Linked DNA regions of Canis lupus familiaris. The main gene of each other region encodes a partner of the protein of the gene in region 5 in a complex. Links are inferred from orthologs where the notes say so. Each region holds a gene or a part of one and is shown on either strand. Other genes may lie near its edges. The genes, in order: SMC2, NCAPG, SMC4, NCAPH and NCAPD2.

Evidence for each region.
Region 1: NCAPD2 (region 5) and SMC2 share a complex: the UniProt entries of both Homo sapiens proteins name them as parts of the condensin complex. The link is inferred for Canis lupus familiaris from reciprocal best matches to the Homo sapiens genes NCAPD2 and SMC2.
Region 2: NCAPD2 (region 5) and NCAPG share a complex: the UniProt entries of both Homo sapiens proteins name them as parts of the condensin complex. The link is inferred for Canis lupus familiaris from reciprocal best matches to the Homo sapiens genes NCAPD2 and NCAPG.
Region 3: NCAPD2 (region 5) and SMC4 share a complex: the UniProt entries of both Homo sapiens proteins name them as parts of the condensin complex. The link is inferred for Canis lupus familiaris from reciprocal best matches to the Homo sapiens genes NCAPD2 and SMC4.
Region 4: NCAPD2 (region 5) and NCAPH share a complex: the UniProt entries of both Homo sapiens proteins name them as parts of the condensin complex. The link is inferred for Canis lupus familiaris from reciprocal best matches to the Homo sapiens genes NCAPD2 and NCAPH.

What each region holds. Positions count from the first base shown.
Region 1 is NC_049232.1:60,489,113-60,493,107, forward strand, and holds part of SMC2 (structural maintenance of chromosomes protein 2), read left to right. Parts: intron 1-580; coding exon 581-724; intron 725-3,327; coding exon 3,328-3,522; intron 3,523-3,995. UniProt on the Homo sapiens protein: Central component of the condensin complex, a complex required for conversion of interphase chromatin into mitotic-like condense chromosomes.
Region 2 is NC_049224.1:91,919,246-91,923,240, reverse strand, and holds part of NCAPG (condensin complex subunit 3), read left to right. Parts: intron 1-415; coding exon 416-565; intron 566-3,995. UniProt on the Homo sapiens protein: Regulatory subunit of the condensin complex, a complex required for conversion of interphase chromatin into mitotic-like condense chromosomes.
Region 3 is NC_049255.1:26,641,228-26,645,830, forward strand, and holds the start of SMC4 (structural maintenance of chromosomes protein 4), read left to right. Parts: upstream 1-1,484; 5' UTR 1,485-1,643; intron 1,644-2,816; 5' UTR 2,817-2,821; coding exon 2,822-2,960; intron 2,961-3,850; coding exon 3,851-4,029; intron 4,030-4,481; coding exon 4,482-4,603. UniProt on the Homo sapiens protein: Central component of the condensin complex, a complex required for conversion of interphase chromatin into mitotic-like condense chromosomes.
Region 4 is NC_049238.1:34,614,160-34,618,154, forward strand, and holds part of NCAPH (condensin complex subunit 2), read left to right. Parts: intron 1-3,706; coding exon 3,707-3,896; intron 3,897-3,995. UniProt on the Homo sapiens protein: Regulatory subunit of the condensin complex, a complex required for conversion of interphase chromatin into mitotic-like condense chromosomes.
Region 5 is NC_049248.1:7,610,924-7,614,918, forward strand, and holds part of NCAPD2 (condensin complex subunit 1), read left to right. Parts: intron 1-148; coding exon 149-385; intron 386-720; coding exon 721-895; intron 896-1,192; coding exon 1,193-1,277; intron 1,278-2,913; coding exon 2,914-3,047; intron 3,048-3,417; coding exon 3,418-3,550; intron 3,551-3,639; coding exon 3,640-3,724; intron 3,725-3,800; coding exon 3,801-3,968; intron 3,969-3,995. UniProt on the Homo sapiens protein: Regulatory subunit of the condensin complex, a complex required for conversion of interphase chromatin into mitotic-like condense chromosomes.

The DNA.
Region 1 (3,995 bases), on a different chromosome or scaffold from region 5:
ACATTTATAAAGTGCCATTCAGTTGTAAACTGGTGATATCTGATTTTACCCTTTGGATAGTGCCAAAGTTGGAATTTGAACCTAGCCTTTTCTGTCTATTTTAAAGACAGCTCTGAATCACTTTTCTATACAATTTTATTTAAATCTATTTTTCTTCATATTCTGTCATTAAATGCTTGCACAAAGTATTTTCTAATGAACTAAAAGGTTTAATGGGAAAGAAGAAAATTGAGAAACTAGTTTTTTTTTTGACATTGCATAATTATGTTTTTAAAAAGCATTTTTCCTCTGCTAGTTTATCTCTTATGTAGAATTCTATATTTTTCTCTAGGAATAAACGGATAAAGGAAATAGCTTATGCTAAGTTATTTAAACTATATGTGATTTTTTTTTTTTTTAAGTGTAGGAAAATAAATTTCCTTTCTCTTTTAGGGGAAACCACTTACATGTGTTCTGGTAGTTGAATAATGAAGCTGTGGGTCTTACTTGCATGAGAATCTTACTAATTTTGCTGAGATATATGTATTCATTTTTCAGTAGTTAATAGCCTGTTGAATGTGTAGATAATGTTTTTTTCTAGGAAGTTGAAGCTATCACCCTGGAGCTGGAAGAGCTCAAGAGAGAGCACACATCCTATAAACAACAGCTTGAAGCTGTAAATGAAGCTATCAAATCCTATGAAGTACAGATTGAAGCAATGGCAGTAGAGGTGGCTAAAAATAAGGTAACGTTTACTTACTATATTGGATAAATAGCAAATGTGAATCTACTTATGAAATGTTGGCTAGAAGATGTTTGACTCCAAGAGGTCTTGCTCTCTTGATTCTTGTCTTGATGAGAGCCAAAACAGTGATTACTGTGATCCAGAAAGAGTCCTGAAATTATAATACTAATTGTTTTAGTCTGGCTCTACTCTGAAGACAAATTATACAGTAATTCGAGCAGGCAAAGTTTAAATTAAAAATTCACTACAGTAGGAATTTGGAATGATGTGGGATTGATCACTAAAGAGAAAAGAGAATGCAAAATGATAAAGGAACAGCAGATACAGGGAATAGCCATTATGACCCATAGGACTGAGAAGTACTCCTCCGATGGAAGGAACAAATCTGGAAAACAGCCCCATTGCGCTTGCTCTTAATTCTTTTGATGACTTAATTCAAGTTTTTTGTTTTTTTTTTTAATATTTTATTTATTTGAGAGAGAGTGAGCACAAGCAGGGGGAGGAGGGGCAGAGAGAGAGGGAGAAGCAAACTCCCCACTGAGTGGGAAGCCCAAAGTGCAACTCGATCCCAGGACCCTGGGATCATGACCTGAGCTGAAGGCAGACACTTAACCGACTGAGCCATTCAGGCACCCAAGTTTTGTTTTTAACACATTGTCAAATCAATAGAATAACATTTTTAACTACTTTTTTTGAAAAAATGCTTCTCAGTTCTGTTTTGTGATGATTAGATTTTCTAGATTTGTTCAGTTTCTATTTTGTCTCCAAAGTAAATTTTAGTTGTTAAAGATATTTTATTTAATATGTCTTAATCTTATATTTTTTATTTCATATGAAATATTTTCCATATTTTATGCTGTCTTTCATGGATCTCATGTTGGAGAATTTTTTAAAAATTCGATAACATGTTTCTAAAGATAAAGATAAATGTGAAAATAAGCTACTCCTTTCTCAATCTAAATGAAATCAAAGTCCGAACATATACATATTTCCATTTTTCTTTATGGAAAAGTATAGAATGGATCACTTCGTTCTTAAAGGTGGTTCTTTCAGGCTCTTCATTCTAAATTGTTTCCTCTCTTTGATAAGAATAGCAAAGGACACTCCCCAGAGGCTAAGAAAAGAAACTGCCTACTAAATAATTAGACAAAACTAAAATTTCATTTCTGCTCAACCTTAGTGACAATTTCCTATTATTATAAAAAAGATTAAAATAGTCAAAATTGCAATGCAATTTTTAACCTGTAAGCATGAGAAAATCTTCATAAACATGTTTTTTTTTTTTTTTTTAGATATGGTGTTAGTTAATAGGCCTGTATCTGTTATTTTTCCCTCTGGTTAATATCACCAAACTATTTTCACTTTCTTTTCTTGTTCTTCAAATGTTTCAAAAAGCTAAAATATCTTTAGGTTTTTATATGAATGCCCTGATTTATTTTCCTTCCTCAGAAGATCTCTAATGACACAGATTAAACATTTTAGGAAATTAAAGCACTTTGAGCACATTCAATAACCTAACCATAACATTAAGTGTTCTTTGTTGCTCAAAATGATCATTTTGTAATGAGCATGCCTAAAAAACTGCTACACTTTTTTTTTTTTTTTAAGATTTTATTAATTTATTCATAGAGATGCAGAGAGAGAGAGAGAGAGAGAGGCAGAGACATAGGCAGAGGGAGAAGCAGGCTCCTTGCAGACAGCCTGACATGGGACTCGATCCAGGGTCTCCAGGATCACGCCCTGGGCTGCAGGCGGCACTAAACCGCTGCGCCACCGGGGCTGCCCTTACTTGTGCTTTTCATCACAAAGAACCACCCTTTTACCTTTCTCTTCCTCAGAGGCTTGTAGCAGATTGTCCTACTTAGGTTTTCCCTGTACCCAAACATGAGTTGAACTGGTTTTTTTGGTTTAAACATTTAATGTGATTTAAGATCTAGGATGAACGAAAGGGGTTTGTGGAGCAGGGGGTTGTTGATAGACTGAATTGCAGTTTTAATTACCACTTTGAGGATTGAATGAGTAGCTTCAGCCTTGGGAAGTAGGAGGATAATAAAAGTCAAAGCAAGAAACTTTTTCTTTGTGTCACAGATCTATTTGTTCAAAAAAGTTTCTCTTTTCTTTTTCTCTTTTGACCCCTGTGCTAGAACCAAACATTATGACCTTCCATTGTCACTGGTAAAAATAGCTTATATCTATAAAAGGGAAGAGTAGAAAGCACCAACCTGCAAACTCTTGATAAATGATATTTGGGGATCTGTCATATTGTCTTCTTCTTAACTACTAAAAAATGCCACCTTTTGAGACCTCAAAAGTCAGATTCCTATAATCCCTGCAAGTTGATCCCAACTAAACTGTACCCAGCAGAAACTTTGTCACTTCCAGCATGAATACTGCATCCCATCTTTTTTCTAGTAGTAAAACAAGTTTTCTCCTATATATAAATTAGTCATTTTAATGGGGATGTAAAATATAGAGGGTTAGGTGACCATCTGCCTCTAAACATATTTCTATCTTGCCCAAAAGTTTGTTAGATGATCTTTTAATAAACTAAAAATATGTCCACAGCACCTTGCTATATGTTGTCTTTGAATTATTTGTTTCAGGAGTCTGTAAATAAAGCTCAAGAAGAGGTGACCAAACAAAAAGAAGTGATAATAGCCCAAGACAATGTAATTAAAGCTAAATATGCCGAAGTAGCAGTACATAAGGAACAAAACAATGATTCTCAGCTTAAAATTAAGGAATTGGACCACAACATCAGCAAACATAAACGGGAAGCTGAAGATGCTGCTTCGAAGGCACGTTTGTGTTGTTTATTTTTACCCGTAATCAGATTTTTGCTTCTGAGTTGTTGAAATATTCTGGTAAACTGCTCAATGAGGAATTCAGTATAAATGGCAGAACTGCTGTGTAACATAATTTTGAGGCTTACAGCTATTTTGAAGGCTTCTCAGCAATGTTCCTTTTCACCAAATAGGATAAATGTTTGTTTCTAAATTTCAGGTATTTATTCCTATCTCCAACATGTTTTCACCAAATAGTGTTTTTTCATGGAACTGACCATTTTTTAATCCGCAAATATTCATAGACCTATTAATAGATCAGTACTAAAAATATATATTGTTTACCTTATTTCAAAATGAATTGGAAACTCACAGAAATACACATACAGGCAAATTCTAAAAGAAGGACTTCATTGGCTTCCGGATGTCCTTGTGAGAATCAGTCAATTTTGCAGCCTCATCTGAAATCTGATGTTTTGCCTACCAGC
Region 2 (3,995 bases), on a different chromosome or scaffold from region 5:
CTGGTCCTTTTCTGATGACTTCAGATGGTTTTAATAGCTTTTATCTAACTCACCTGTGTCTTTACTGTGGCATGGTGAGTGTCTTTTCTTTTTTATCCCCTTTGGGGAAGGACTCGCTACCTTATCACGGACTACTTTAGCTGCATTCTTTTTCTCCCCCCATTTTGTTACTTTGATGTGTGCATTAGCTTACCATGGAAAGTCCTGCAACATGCTTCCCTATTGTATGACTCTTTTTTTCTCTTTTGCTCTAAATATTTTCGTTTGTGCACGTGTGTGGATAAATTAATGACTTTGCAATTAAAAGGATGCTGGTTATAAATCAGGCTTGCTTTTTATTCCTATTTTTTATACTTAGTTCAAATTTTTAACTTTAAGATTATGCTTTCTCTTATTCTCTCCCTTTTAATTGAAGGCAACTGATTCCATTGGAAACATTAACTCCTGAAAATGCTTTGTATTGGCGTGTCCTTTGTGAATATGTGAAATCAAAAGGAGATGAAGGTGAAGCAGTTTTGGAGCAGATTTTGCCGGAGCCTGTAGTATATGCAGAGTATTTACTAAGGTAAAATTTTTTCTTATTATTCAGATTGTACTTTTGTTGCTGTGTTAAGCCTCTAGCCCCTTCCCTCAAAGTCATGTTTGATGACTTTGTGAAAAACCATTTTTTTTGACTAGGCAGAGATAAATAGCAATGTATATTGAGTCTTTCTGAAGAATGTTCTGTGCTGGATGGATAAAGTGCAAAAAGTCAGTGTGTTTAGGGAGATTTCCTTAAAACTGTTAGGATGTGCTTATGAACATTTCTCCATAAAGTTGATAATGATGATGATGTGTTACTCTTTGAAATTGGTTGGCAAACCTTTTCTAAGGGTCAGAGCATAAATATTTTAGTTTGTAGACCTGTGTCACAGTGACAGTTCTGCTGTGTTGGTGCAAAAGCAGCCAAAGAAATATGGGATGAATGATTGTAACTATTTTCCAATGAAACTTCTTTCAACTTTTATGGACTAAAATTTGAATTTCATATGATTTTCATCTGTATATATTTTCAAATTATGTTTATATCCATGTATAAACAAACTTCCATTTAAAAGTGTATAAACTCTCATCCTGCAAACTATGAAAACAAGCAGCAGGCTGTATCTGGTGCACGGGCCATACTTTTCCAACTGACAAGGTGAACCTTTGTGGCTACTTTAGTATTAATTAAACCTGCACTATTTGGCTTTTTGTTTTCTAAAAGGATTTTTCAATATACACTTTTATATTAGTTATTCTAATTTCACTTTAAAATTGTACAAGTAAAACATGAAAGCAATTCTGATCAAAATTCAAATACAGAAATATGTAGAAGAAAAACGTAGAATTTTTCTTTCATCTCCTAATTCTTTAATCCCATTTATCTTACAGTTAACAATTTGTGGAATGTACACTTGTGGCCCTCTTTCTCTACATATATATATTAAAATACACAAAAATTTTAAACATAGCACAATACATGTTTTTGTTTTTCTTTTTCCCCCCAACTACTTATATCTATCTGTGGTCATTATATGTTGGTGCGTATAAACTTATCACACTCTTAACATATTATTCCATGGTATGATGGCAATACTTAATTTACTTCTCTGTTAATGGACATTTAGCGTGATTCTGGTTTTTTACTGATAAGGTTGTATTAAACCATACATTTTTATATGTGTTTGGGATTTTGTGGGGTTGATTCCTAGAAGTGGAATTGCTGGGTCAAAGGTTATATGTATTTTCATAGATTTTGGTGGGTAGATTTTTAACTTTATGCTTTTAAAAAAAAATATTTTATTTATTTATTCATGAGAGAGACAGAGAGGGAGAGAGAGAGAGAGAGACGCAGGCAGAGGGAGAAGCAGGCTCTATGCAGGGAGCCCGACGTGGGACTCGATCCCGGGTCTCCAGGATCATGACCTGGGCCGAAGGCAGGCGCTAAACCGCTGAGCCACACAGGGATCCCCTAGCTTTATACTTTTAATGCAGTTTTTAAAAAGCTTCTTCCATATAATATGAATTATAGGCCTGAGTTCTTTTTGTATAGAATGTAACATTTTGCTTTTGATGAATGATTCCATGTAAGTTAGGAAGCAAAACTATAAATGCATTTTAATTTGCATGCAAAATATTGAACCAAGGATAAATACCTAAAATTTGAGCCAAAATGGAAACTTACAGCCTGAATTCATAGTAACATCATAAAAAATATGAGTGAATCTACTGTTTCAATAGTAATTGTTTCAAGCTTCAATATAATTAGAGTATTCATTATATTGCTGTTTGGGCCATGTTGCAGTATTTCCAAAACCAATGAGTTTGATGTAGTGCTTAATAATATGAATTAATATAAAAGTAATAAATACTTATAGAAAATAAGGGAATGTTTCAGAGATTAATTCTTAGTTACTGAAATCAACAGGTAAGGAGCTTGGTTTCCCTGGCTCTGAGAAGTTAGGGATTCTTATATTTCCATTGTCACTTAATCTGTGAGTTTTGAAATAGGTAACTTTAATCAACTTTTTATTTAAAAAGAAGAAAACTTTAAAAATTGTATTTTTATTATTATTGAAAGAACAGTTTAGAAATAGAATAGTTTTCTTTTTGGAGCGACATCACTAGATAGGATTAGCTTATTCCGGTACTGAAACAAAATTAAGTGGAAAAATTGCTTCCTGAAAAATCTCAGAAATATATTTTCAGGCATTTGGTAGCAGAAAGAGGTAGTGACCCAGAATTCTGATATGAAACAAGGTTTCCTGTTAACCGAAGTATTCACATAAAGGAAGAAATCAGGGATATTAAATTTGGCTTGTCAAATTTGAGGAAGAAAAAGAGATGTGAACACAATTTTAGGAAACAACCTTAAATATAAATTCTTGGAGAGAGCTTTAGGAAAAGGCTTTCTTTCTTGAGTGTTCTCCTCATTGTAATGAATGTGTTTAAAAATGGTTAAAAAGAGATGATTTCATGGTAATTAAAATTGGTGGGTCCATTTTAGGTTGTATTTATGCAGTTTGAGATTCTTAATCTATGAATGAAGTTATTACTCTGAATTTATTTAAAAAAATACCCTCAGTCTTGATGCTATGCATTGTGCTAAAGCTGGAGTGGAAGAGTAGGGAAGGATTCAAAGAAGAGGGGATCCCTGGGTGGCTCAGTGGTTTAGTGCCTGCCTTCCACTCAGGGTGTGATCCTGGAGACCCGGGATCGAGTCCCACATCCGCCTCCCTGCATGGAGCCTGCTCCTCCCTCTGCCTGTGTCTCTGCCTCTCTCTGTCTCTCGTGAATAAATAAATTAAAAAAAAAAAATCTTCAAAGATGAGTGAAGGTTTTTTTTAGCCTGTCAGAAACCAGCAACTCTACTAAGCTAATGATTTTGATAATTACTAGTTTCTTTCCTTTAGTTTTCTACTAGAACCCAAAGAGCGCTGATGCCCTTTGAAAGTCCTATCTCATGGCCAGAGATTTGTGAGCTTTTATTTACTCTTGGTTGTTATTTTAAAGACGAGTCAGTTTATTCATCATACATAATTCTGCAGTTCTTATAACTTGATTTTTGTTGACAATTTAAAAATGACATTTTCATCAGGATTGTTTATTACTTTCAACCTAAAGGCACCTAGTTGTCTAAGCTTTAACTCTTAATTCTGCCTTTACCTAGGTTTTTTTTGTTCACACAAAAAAGAGAACTTTTGGTAGTCTGTTGAATTTTATCTAGATGAGGGTTGTAAAAGGCTTTAATTTGGGCGGAGGTAATAAGCATAAAAGGGTAGTTGATGATGCTTATTTAGGAATATCTACAATGAAATAAGAACAATACAGATATTAGTAGAGCCCCCAAGCAAGGATAATACAAATTCATGAAGCTCTATTTTTCTGATTTTTTAAAAGGTCATTGTATTCATGGCTTACTTGCATAATTAAAAATAATTATTCCTACTTTTCTTCTAAACAAAAGAATAATG
Region 3 (4,603 bases), on a different chromosome or scaffold from region 5:
CCGAGTCAATGTTCTGGCAAACCACATCAGTCTCTGAACTTCACCAAATTCTTAAAAGAGTTGTCAGGGAGTGTCTCCTCCACATCCCTCTTGAGAATCACTGAACTTTTCTTTTTACTCCCGGCGCAAGATTCGTACTACTTACTTAGAATGGTAACATAAATTCATTTATAAAGCAGATTTCTCCGTGCTTTAGTATGCCAGGCACTAAGTATGCAAAAGTCAAAGGGAGGGCAGGGCTCCCAGTTCTCAATGACAATTTCCTAAGTGTCGCTGAATACATACTTATTGGGGGCGGTGGTTAACATAATAGGTGATTAGGACCACGTTTGAGAATCAAAGTTCTGAGGAAACTAACTCCCCAGGAAAATGCACAAACACACAGAATTCTGTTTACCGTTTCAGCTGGCGGCGGTGGGGGGTGGGAGGGGGGAGCATTATGAATTCCACTGAATCTCAATCGCCCCACCAATAGGACCACGGACTCCACGTTAAAAATCGACCCACAAAACTAAGTTCTCTGGAAACAGGAATACCTGCTTAGTAATTCACAGTACAACGTATTCAAAAGTTACCGAAGGAATATTTTCCGATCGATAATTTTCTCGTGGAGATAACCAGATGACATCAACCAATCATTTTCTTCCATTACGGAATCTCAATCAAATCATCCTAAAAGCCCGAAATTCCCCTTTCGCTAGTGACACGAATGACCTGACACCAACAAATTCCAAAGTATTTTGCTATTGACGTATAGACTATGCAATCATTCACCGATCCGGGTGTTTCTGTTCTTCGTCTTGTCCTTCTACTCCTTCCAAACTCAGGGCTTCCTGCTTCGCATCCCAAAAGCTTCGTCCAGCGCCCCGCTCGCTGCCTGCAGGGGGACGCGGCAGATGCTCGGTGCCGCATACGCTATCACACTAGGTAAGGTGGGATCCGTCGATGGCCACAATTTCCAAACCCTTTCCTCACCACGTCCGGAGGCGACGAGATTTACCTTAAAGTTCCAGGAAAGCAGAGGCGATTGCTCCCGGAGCTAGGACCAGTTACCAAGAAGCCTCCCGACCTCCCTGTCACCATAGTGACTCCTACGAGCTGCGCACACTCCCTCTTCTCGCGATACTTCCCCCTCCGCGGGTCACCCGAGCCCGCCCTCTCCTGAAGGGACGTTAGTAGACGACGGAGCCCTCCTCCAGCTGTGGGTGGAGCCCTCCTGGGTTGGGTTTTTTTTTTTTTTTTTCCTCTCGTTCAAAACTCTCTCTAGATTGGGATTTCTTTTCTTTTTTTTTTTTTTTTTTTGGTATTTTTTAAGAGTACTGTTGCCGTAGGCCTAAAACAAAACAGCGCTTCGCTCCGCCTCTTCACTTACTACAGACGAGCCCGGCCGCCGGGGTCCCGCCAGGGTCCCGCCAGGAGTTCGCGCATGCGTGCAAGCGACCAGAAGATGGCGGTGGCAAGCGCCGCATTTTTTTCAAATTAGTGGTTCCCAGAAAGCATTGCGCGCATTTGTAACGAATTTCCGTTCGAGTTTGTATTTTAGGCGCCATTTTCGAGTGAAGGACCCGGAGCCGAAACACCGGTAGGAGCGGGGGGTGCTATACAACGGTCTCCGGTTTTGGTGCGAGTGGCCTGCGCCGCAGGTAAAGTACTTCTTTTCCTGACCAGGTTGTCACACTCTCCCTTCCTGCCCGGTCCGCGGGCGCCGGGAAAGTAGAGGCCTTGAGCTGGAGCCGCCGAAGTCCGCTCTGGGCTGAGGCAGCCGCCGGGAGGTTTCTTTCGCTGTCACCCCTCCCCCCTCGGCCGCCTCCCGGCGGTCGGGGCTCCCGCGCGCTCCTCGCGGGCGCCACTTCTCTGAGCTACTTAAGCGCCTCGGGGCGGGGGGGGGGCGCGGGGGACGCGGACTCTTAAGCCTCGCAGAGCTCTTCTCGGAAATCCCGGTCTCTGTCGGGGAAAGGGCGTCTCCCCTGCCCCGGCCCCCTGACCTCCTCTCTTCCCCCAAGGGACTGCTCACCGAGTCCGAGCCCTTCGTGATGACCTTTCGTAGCGGATTGTCCAGCGAGGCTCCACGGGGGGGTCGGAGGGGACAGACCCCCGCCACCCCCAAGATGATTGGCCCGGACCAGGCGCTGCTAGGTCTGGTCTTGGAAATCGGGAGTGGCCGACCCCCGTCTCCGGGTCCGACGGCAGCGAGCGAGACCTGGAAGCCCCCGGGGCCGTCAGCGGCGCCCGGAGCCAAATGGCGGGGAAAGTGGGTGGCGAGTCGCCCGTTAGTCGTCGCTCCTCAGGAGGAGTTGAGAGTCCCTCAGACCTGAAGCGGATACAAAAGTCTTCTCGGCCAAAGTCTCTTCTGCGCTTGCTTCGCTAACCCCAGCAGCGTGGGAATACCAGCAAATGCCGCCGCGCAGGAATTATTTCGTTAGGAAATTAGAGGATTGTTAGACCCTTCTGCCGTGGGAGGACGGGGGTGGGGAGGCATTAAGAAAATGGAACGTAAGCCGTTCTGCCCTTTGCCTGGTGGCCACGCACGTCTAGGTTTGCCCAGTTGCTTCGGGCTTAAGAAAACGCATCTCGCCTTTTTTGGCACTTGGGGTTGTGTGTGTGTGTGTGTGTGCGCGCGCCTTTCTTTACCGAGCACCCGCCGGCGTCCGGCGGCGTTATCTAAAAGGGGTTCTCGGAAACGGGTGGACGGAGTTTTTCCCCGAGTGGGATGGGGTGGGGGCTGAGCTCATCCGACGCGGTGGCCGGCGGGGAATGTACCCGCGCAGCCCTGCGGCCCGGCGGACTGACTCGCCCCTGCTCTCCCCCGGCCCCAGCGACCATGCCCCGAAAGGGCACCCAACCTTCCACCGCCCGGCGCGGGAGGGAAGAGCCGCCGCAGTCCCCGGACGGCCCCAGCAGCGACGCGGAGCCCGAACCCCCGCCTGGCCGCGCGGGCAGCCCGGCCCCTGCTTCCACAGGTAAGTACCTCGCCGCTCCTCCGCTGGAGAACGCGCGGGGCGGCCAGCGTGGGTCCGCGCCCAAGCCGGGACTGGCGGGTGTTTGGGGGCGCGGAGCTGAGGGGCTGCGGAGTTGGCGACTGTAGGTCGCATGTCGGTTCCGTAGTGCTCGACAAAGCGATTTGGCGATTTTCGGAGGTCGGAGTCTTCGTGCAATTTCGGTGTTACGGTGTTGGAGGGGATTGGGGCAAGTGCGTGGCTACATTTACGATTTTATTTGTGGCCTTGTATTTCCTCGGAGATCGGCGTGATCAGCCAATAGCTAGTGGACTGTTTTCTAGGCAGAATTAACATGATTGTATCTTAAAAGTGACATGGCCCTAATTTAACCTCTCTGGTCTAAATTGCGTTTAAAAAGATAACGATAATTTATTTGAAACTACGGTAGCTTTTTTGTGAGTACTGGAATTGGGTGACATTAGGAAGCCCCGTGGCAGAGTCGCTGGAAGCTCTTGAGTGTCCAAAGTTAAGGTTCCAGGTGCTCAGAGATTGGGAGAAAGTTAGATCTAGAGCCTTAGGATTTAACCACCTGTTTAGGCGAGGAACAGAGAATCAGGTTGTTGTGGTTTTCCCAGATTTGCTTTATGGTGTAGTATTTTGACTCCTAAGAGATAGATTTTTGTAGGATTTTGTGACTGGTGGTCATTTCTTTAAGAATTTCTATTTTTATAAAATCAAGCTGAAAGATTTTCATTTCTTCTTAGTAAAATACATTTAAGTGGAAAATACAGATTCCTAGGTTTCATAAGTAACATTTTTCCAAAGATTAGCAGGCAGTAGTCCTCCGAACTAATTGCACTAATGCAGGCTTTCTTTTTCCTCTTGCTTTCCCTTCCCTTTGACTGACTTAGAGACACCAAGTGAGGAAATTGATAATAGAAGTTTAGAAGAGATTTTGAATAGCATCCCTCCTCCCCCGCCTCCAGCCATGGCCAATGAAGCTGGAGCTCCTCGGCTTATGATAACTCATATTGTAAACCAGAACTTCAAATCCTATGCTGGGGAAAAAATTTTGGGACCTTTTCATAAGGTATTTGATCATTTTAAATAACTATTATAGAGTAATGTGTTTTTATTACAAGGTATTTCAGTTTTATCCTGTTTATCCTCACTGATAATACATGGTATGTTTCCTGTGTTTTTAACAACTGAAATTAGTTTTTGTTTATCCTGGTTATCGTTGGTACCTCTTTAGCTGTTAAGTTTTCCACACAGAGTAGAATTGGTGAGGGGTTATTTTTGTTTGTTTGGAGGAAGTATTTTTTCTATTAGAATGAATTTTGTAAAAGTGATTTAGACTATAGTCTTAAAATGTTGAAGCTTGTTATAAAGGAGAATATAATGTAGGAAAACAAGTTGAAATGAAAATTTTAAATAGTTTTGCTGCAAGTAAAAAAGGCAAGCGGTTTAAATTAAAATCAGTTATATAGTATGACCTTTTTAACTTCACTTTAATTTTTTTTTCCTGTTCTTTTTATGCAGCGCTTTTCCTGTATTATTGGGCCAAATGGCAGTGGCAAATCCAATGTTATTGATTCTATGCTTTTTGTGTTTGGCTATCGAGCACAAAAAATAAGATCTAAAAAACTTTCGGTACTAATACA
Region 4 (3,995 bases), on a different chromosome or scaffold from region 5:
GCAGCCACAGTGGTGAGGCCTGTGGGGAAGCAGTGTCCTTGGGCAGGCAGCATTTCATTAGAGTAGTGCTCCTTTTGTCATTTTCTTACCCAGAATGGGCCTTTTTAGGTATTTTCTTCCTACCCCACTACCCTTTAAATTAATTATTATGGAATAAGATTTTATCAGCTAGTGTTGAGCCTTGGAAAACCACAAGTAACTATCATTTCTAAGATTTCCCTACCCTCCCCCAAGAACTGGTTTTTACTCCCTTGAGAATGATACTGCCTCCAATTAAAAATGAATGAGTTAAAGCTGGTAGGTGGAGAGAACCTTCAAGAATGAAGTGGAGGAATATAGGGAATTTCTAGAGGGCCCTGGGGGGAAATAGCCATTGTTAGCCTACGGAGATGGGGACCAAAGAGGGGATGTCAGAGCTGTATAGGTTTTAGACCCTGGGAAATGTAGAATCCTGTGGGATCCTAGGTCTTTTATAAATAAATTAAATAAAGGGAAATGATGAGATTAGTCCTGGTGGTCTCATAGCAGATGATAGTGGTAGAGGCAGAGCACACAGGGGGCTAGGAGTGAGGGGCTTTGACGGCTTCACTCTGAGTGATGGGGCGGTTCTGCTTTGGCCTTGCTTGGCCGCTCCAGCCTGTGCTGGTGTGAGGACAATGTGTGGATGGGTGTGGAGGGGGTCGAGAAAGGTGAAATGCCGAGGCCAAGGCCAAAGAGGGAGGAGGGAAACGAGTTGCAGGCACTTTGTGGGGAGGGAGTTCTGTTTATCCATATGTCAGAATTGACCTTAGGTAGTACCACATTTGGAAGCATATGATGTGAAGTTCAGATCCTGGTTCCACTCTCTTAGCTGTGTGGCGCGGGAAAAGGCTCTGAATCTCACTTTGTTAAACTGTAAAAACAGGTTAACGCTAGTTCTGTCTGCATATGGGTTTTGTGGTAGAGAATCTGTCCCTGGCAAAGTGCTTCATCCATGGTAATATGTTGTATACCCCTAAAGAGGAGCCATATAATTCTCTCCCATCTTCCCTTCCCCTCTCCAGTTCTCCATGTTTTTCCTTCTTCTTAGATAATCTGAGCATTAATTTCACTGTCATTCTTGGCTTTGCTTCTGGTTCTGTAGTGAAATGTCAGTTCAACAGTATGGTTGGAAATTTTGTTTCCTTTTCTGACCAGCTAGACCCAATTCTGGGGAGCCTGAGGAGGCTTGCACTAACTAGCCTTGCCCATTATTCTAGAGAGAAAATGAGAGAGCAAGTGGTGCTGTTCCCTCTCAGCTTGTGATGGTCAGCCACATTTATGCTGCGTGAAATCACTAGTCTTTTTTTTTTTTTAAGATTTTATTTATTTACTTGAGAGAAGAGAGATTGTGCACAAGCAGGGGGAGTGGCAGGGAGAGGGAGAAGCAGACTCCCCACTGAGCAGGGAGCCTGATCCAGGACTCAATCCCAGGACCCTGGGATCATGACCTGAGCTGAAGGCAGATGCTTGACAACTGAGCCACCCAGGTGCCCTGAAATCACTAGTCTTAAACACCAAGTACCCCAATCCTAGAAAGTTTTTTTGCTCTGTAATCCACCATAAACTTGTAATAACCCAAAGCCCAATTTGGAAGATAACCAAGAAGGAGGGATTGTCAGAGACCTAGAATTTGAAGTTTCAACTGTTTCTTGAACCTGTATTCTCTTGGAGATGGCATGGAAATGAGAAAGCAAATATTGTGTGGGTGTGTCTAGACCAGTTGAGAACTCTTGTTTGTGTATGAGCTGATCTGTTTTGGACACAGCTCTCTGTGTGTAAAATGTTTGCTGTCATAGGAGATTCCAACCTGATTATAAGCTCCAGTTCTTTATACCAGGAGCGCACAAATGGATACAATACAAGGAAGTTCAAGGCACATACTATAGGAAGTCAGAGTGGGTGGAGGTCAGAGCTTATGGAAGAAGTGAAATTTGAGCTTGGCCTTAAAGGAAAGGTAGGTATTTATCAGGTGGACATTGCCAGGCAGAGGCATAAACAAAGGCTGTGAAGCAGGAATGTTTCTCCCTAAAGGGAGCTGGACAGAGTACAAGTTTGGCTAGAGCCCAGGATCTACTCACAAGGCTGAAACAACCTTTAGACTTTACCATGCACTTTATTATCTACCAAAGGCTCCTTTTACTATTTTACTATTTACTATTACTATTTACTATTTCTCTTCCTCGCTGTGGACCCTTGTTTCAAAAGATTCACCTACTGGAGGTGCCTGGCTGACTCAGTCTGTAGAGCATATGATACTTGATGTTGAGGTCATGAGTTTGAGCCCCATGCTGGGTGTAGAGATTACTTAAGACACACACACACACACACACACACACACACACAAGGTTCATCTACCCAAACTGCAGTCACCAATTATTCAATTTCCCATCAAATAACTCAAAAATGTCAATCAGATCTAATTTATATGGAAGAACCATTGTTCTCTCATTGCATGATATAATTCTAGACAAAAGTGACGAAAATTATCTTAGTGTTTTTCAGCTTTATATTTTAGTGTTTACAGTTTCCGTGTTGACTCTTCAATATGCTAGCTTCACTAACTACCCACACTGGACCTCTCAGGGTATGGGGATCCAGGTGGGATGCCAGTGCTCTGGTTAGCATTTGAGGAAGGGAATGGGAATAACAACGCTAGTATTTTTAGGATAGGAAATGGGAGAGACCAGAGATGAGGGTTGACTCAGGCGTGGGTTGTATTGGTGGCAGTAGAGGTGAAGGAGGAAGGGGGATAGATGGTAGAGATCTACTGGGAGGAAAACCCACCAGGCTGACTGCCTGAGGGGTAAGGAGACAGGGAGAATGGAGGTGATGTATTTGATACTCTGGGGCTGGAACGATGGTGAGATGGGCTCATTGGAGGCGAGAGGAGAATCTCGGTTCTGGCCAGGTCAGGTTCAGAGCTAAGGGGGCCAGGAAAGAGCCAGAGAGCCACATCTCTTATCCTACCTGAGGCCCCTTCTCTCTCTCCACACTAGCTACATCCTGAAACATAAAGGAGACCTGTGAACCCAATACTTGCCCTCTTGCCACACATGCCTGTGTCTTGCTCTCTCCTCATTCTCGTGCACTGTCCCCTGTTCTACCTTTGGGATTGCTATCACCTGGCTCTGCCACTCCTGCTCCTTACCCCAGCCTTGGAGGCCCTTTTACAACCTCCCCTATGTTTTACCCATCCACCTAGTCCTGCTGACTCTGCCTGTCTTTCCCCTGAATCTCTTGGTTGTATTCCCCAAATCTGTGAAAATATTTCTCCCCAGAGAAATAATGGGATCTTGTGAACAGATCCATCACATAGGCTTTTTAAGTCCACAGAATTTGTTGTGATAGCATTCTGCCAGGCCCTTTGAAAACAGTGACTTGTGGGAAGAGACAACAGAAGGGTACCGTCCATGTGGATCATAAACAGGTTGACATAGTAGAAGCTGTGTACTTGAATGCTGTATATTTATTCAGCTGACCACACACAGTCTTCCTTTTCTATTGGTATCTGCTAAGATGAGATTTTACTGATTAAATAGAAAGTCCTTCCCCTGCTTCAGTCACATGCAGAGATATCTCAATTCCACATATGCAGTTGTGAATGAGCAGGGTCCAATGAAGGAGATTTTACATTTGCTTCGGCTGCATCCCATAATTCATTGGTTTCCTCTGGTTTTATGCTCAGATTGATCCCATGTTTCAGAAGACGGCAGCCTCATTTGATGAGTGCAGTACAGCAGGGGTATTTCTCTCTACCCTCCACTGCCATGACTACAGAAGTGAGCTTCTGTTTCCCTCTGATGTCCAGACTCTCTCCACTGAAGAACCCCTGGAGCTACCAGATTTAGGTTGGGTGGAAATGACAGATTTAAAAGGTTAGTACACATATATATTTTACTAGAGCATTTTAGTCATCAGAAAAGTTTCCACACAACTGTGGAGCATAATATGCCCATCCTTAGGTTGCTTGTTTA
Region 5 (3,995 bases):
CACTAAGCTACCCAGGTGCCCCTAACCAGGATACTTTAGAGTAGGTTCTAAATGTAGAACTTCCCACTGTGGAAAGAAATGTCCAGGGATGTTACAGGTGTTGGGTAGCCCTCAAGGAATAACCATCCTATAACTGTCTAACTCCTAGGCCCAGTAGCTTCCACACAGGAGAATACCCAGGGGCCTGCAGGGAACACGGGCCTAAAACAGCCAGACTGTAAAGATAAGCCCTGTGTGTCAGAGCCTATGAAATCCAGGGACAATGATGAACTGGTAAAGCAGGAGATGCTGGTGCAGTATCTGCAGGACGCCTATAGCTTCTCTCTGAAGATCACAGAGGCCATTGGCATCATCAGCAAGATGATGTATGAAAATACAACAACAGGTATGCCAGCATCCCTCTCTGTAAGGACTGGGTCTTGGGGTTGGGAAAACCAGTCTTGTCCATATTTTAATGGTAATTATCTGCTCTTTAAAAAGGCAAGGATTCTTTTTTATTTTTTATTTTGTTGGGATTCTTTATTTCTTTTGGCTGTGTATATCCCCATGGAGCATACACATTTTAACACACAGTTCATGATAAGGCCATCAGGAGTTGACTTTCTCAGGGAGAGTGAGGAAAGCTTCCACTTGCGTGTTGCTACACTAAGAAAGGTTCTGTCTTTAAGTATTAGGAGAATTTGGCCAAGCAATGGGTGATATTTGTATCTATCCTCTCAGTGGTACAGGAGGTGATTGAATTCTTTGTGATGGTGTTCCAATTTGGGGTACCTCAGGCCCTGTTTGGGGTGCGCCGCATGCTGCCTCTCATCTGGTCTAAGGAGCCTGGTGTCCGGGAAGCTGTGCTTAATGCTTACCGCCAACTTTACCTCAACCCCAAAGGGGACTCCGCCAGGTATATGTGGTACTTTTTGGCCTTTGCCAACTTCTCTGAGGTCAGCTTCTCATAGGACTGCACTCTTTTAGGAGTCTGCAGTCTCCTAAAAGAAGGGTGGGGATGTGGGGGCATCCTTCTAGAGGAGTTCTGAAATCATCAGACATAGATCTGTAATGGGATTCAGTGGAGCTCAGACTTCCAGTCAAACCCATCCTACATAGTTATCCGACGTTGTAGTGGGATAGCCCTAATAACCTGTTTGTGGGTTCACACTTAGCAGTTTTTAATGACCTCTGCTCTCTGCTATTCCCACAGAGCCAAGGCCCAGGCTTTGATTCAAAATCTCTCTTCGCTGCTAGTGGATGCCTCAGTTGGGACCATCCAGTGTCTTGAGGAAATTGTAAGTCTCCTACTTTCTTTCTATTTTGTTTGTTTTGTTTTGTTTTTGGCTTATTTAGTTATTTAAATAATCTCTACACCTAGCGTGGGGCTCAAACCCCTAACACCTCAAGATCAAGTATCATACATTCCTCTGACTGTGCCCGCCAGGCATCCCCTTACTTCTACTTTCTTTATTCATTCAATAAGTATTACTGTGTGTTCAGCAATTTACTCAGCCCTACAAAGTATAAGATTATTTTCAAGTTCCAACATTTTAAAGGAACCAACAATATAGTGGGTAGCCAAAAAACATTTATACGTTTATAGAACGAGGTGGCACATCAGTGCCAGAAAAAGTGGCCTAAGTAATGGTTATAGCAGGAATGGTAATGTAATAACACTTATTATATATATGCCAGGCCTGTCCTCAGCAGTTTGCTCGTAGGAGCTTGCATCATGCTTATACAACCCTCTGAAGTGATGCTGCTAATGTACATTTTACGGTGACAGGTCCTGAGGCTCTGAGAGGTTAAGGTACTTGGCTAATGACAGCTGGTTTGTGGGAGAGACACAGGCAATATGAGCTCCGGAAAACATACTCTTACCTTGTATGTTTCTCTGAGGAGAACAGTGGGAGGACTTAAGCAGGGTCTTGATGAGCAGGATACAGAGAATTAGAGAAAGGAGGGAGCCAAGAAAGAGCACAAAAAGTTGCAGAGTGAAGATTGTGTTCTGGCTGGAAATTGTTACCTGCAAAAGATAAAGTGGGAGTGTAGATTGGAACGGAATTGAAAGGTCCCTGAATGCCTTTCACAAGTCCAGGACTTTCAGTTTGCCAGCATTTTAGTGAGGCCCATGTGCTTTGAAGCATTTGGATTGTGGAGCCTGAAGGCGGAAGTGGTGCTGACCACCAGCATCCACTAGGTGGAGCATTCCTGCCAGCCACCTTTTCTCTTCTCTGGGGCAAAGAAGAGCCCCGTGGCAGCCACTGGCCTGAAGTCTTCGAGGCTAGGAGGCTAGCTCACGGTCCCCGAGCTCCTACTGTAGGCAAAGAAGAGCTGTTTCTAAAAGATGAGCTGAGGTATGGCATGATGAAGTAGGTGTTGGGAAGACTGGTCCAATAGGAACATACAGGTTGGTGGAGAGGAGGCTGCTGTCAAGTGTGCAGTGGTGAGGGGCTGGCCTTGGAGGAAAAGCTATGGAATTGCACTTAATGGAAGATGGATTTTAAAGAGTAGGTGGGACAAAGTGAGGAAACGTTGACTATGAAGTTTCAAGCATATGAGACTAAGAGTGTTGGTATTCTGGGCAAAATGAAAAGGCAAGGGAGGATGCAGCCTTCCATTTTAGACATGTTGCATTGTTGTAACAGCAACAAAACCTACTAGAAATCTCCAAAATGTGGTCAGAGCCACGGATCCACACATAACAAGGTCACTCTGAAAATGTCATCTTAAATGCAGTTTTGAGGGCATGAGGATGGAAAAGTGACAGAGATGGAAGCCCCTCCCCAGACTCCTCCTCCTTCCTTTTCCGTGCCTAAGCATTGCTTTTACCCACCTCGGGTTCTCAGTGCTCTCTTCAGAGAAGTGGAACAAGGATCAGGCGAATTGTTATTTCCTGGCTTGAGCCTTTTTTTTTTTTTCTCTCTTCAGCTCTGTGAGTTTGTGCAGAAGGATGAACTGAAGCCAGCAGTGACCCAGGTGCTGTGGGAGCGGGCAACCCAGAAGGTCCCCTGCTCTCCTCTGGAGCGCTGTTCCTCTGTCATCCTTCTTGGGATGATGGCACGGTAAGGCTCGGGTCCAGACAGGCAGTAGGAATAAGAGGCGGAGGGAGGGCTCTGAGAAGGCTCCCTTCCCTTCGGTACCGGCAGTCAGGCCCACAGCTGTACCAGGTAGTAGTTGGCTACCTAAATGAAAAGTAAAACAGTGCAAGTACCAGCACCCCCTACCCCTACCCCCCACCCTGCCCAACAGAAATAATGGGATTCGGTACAGGGAGAGGGATTCTGAGGGCCAGCCCTGTAGAGCCTCTTCTGTAGTGCTCCAGGGCTCTCAAAGCCTCGCACAGAGTGCTTGCTGTTACCTACCCCACTGGGCATTATTCCCTACAGAGTGCTGTCCCCGACTAGCTTTAACTCTGTGGCTTCCTTCTCCTAGAGGAAAACCAGAAATTGTGGGAAGCAACTTAGACACACTGGTGAACATAGGGCTGGATGAGAAGTTTCCACAAGACTACCGGCTGGCCCAGCAGGTGTGCCATGCCATCGCCAACCTCTCTGACAAGAGAAAGGTATGGGGGATCTCCAAACCAAGGAGAGTGGGGCTCCTCTTAACCACTCTCAACACATAGGCACATTTTGTCTTTGCTGTTCTCAACAGCCTTCTCTGAGCAAACGGCACCCTCCCTTCCGGCTGCCTCAGGAACATAGGCTATTTGAGCGACTGCGGGAGGTGATCACAAGAGGTGAGTTATCATGAAGGCCTTGGGTAGAATCGAGTCCTTTGGCTGCAATGAGTGACTTCTCCCTTCTTCTCTGCAGGCTTTGTCCACCCAGACCCACTCTGGATCCCATTTAAAGAGGTGGCAGTGACCCTCATTTACCAACTGGCAGAGGGCCCCGACGTGATCTGTGCCCAGATACTGCAGGGCTGTGCAAAACAGGCCCTGGAGAATTTGGGAGAGAAGAGCACCACCCAGGAGGGCCCGAGTAAGTAGACAAAGAGGGTCCTCAGTG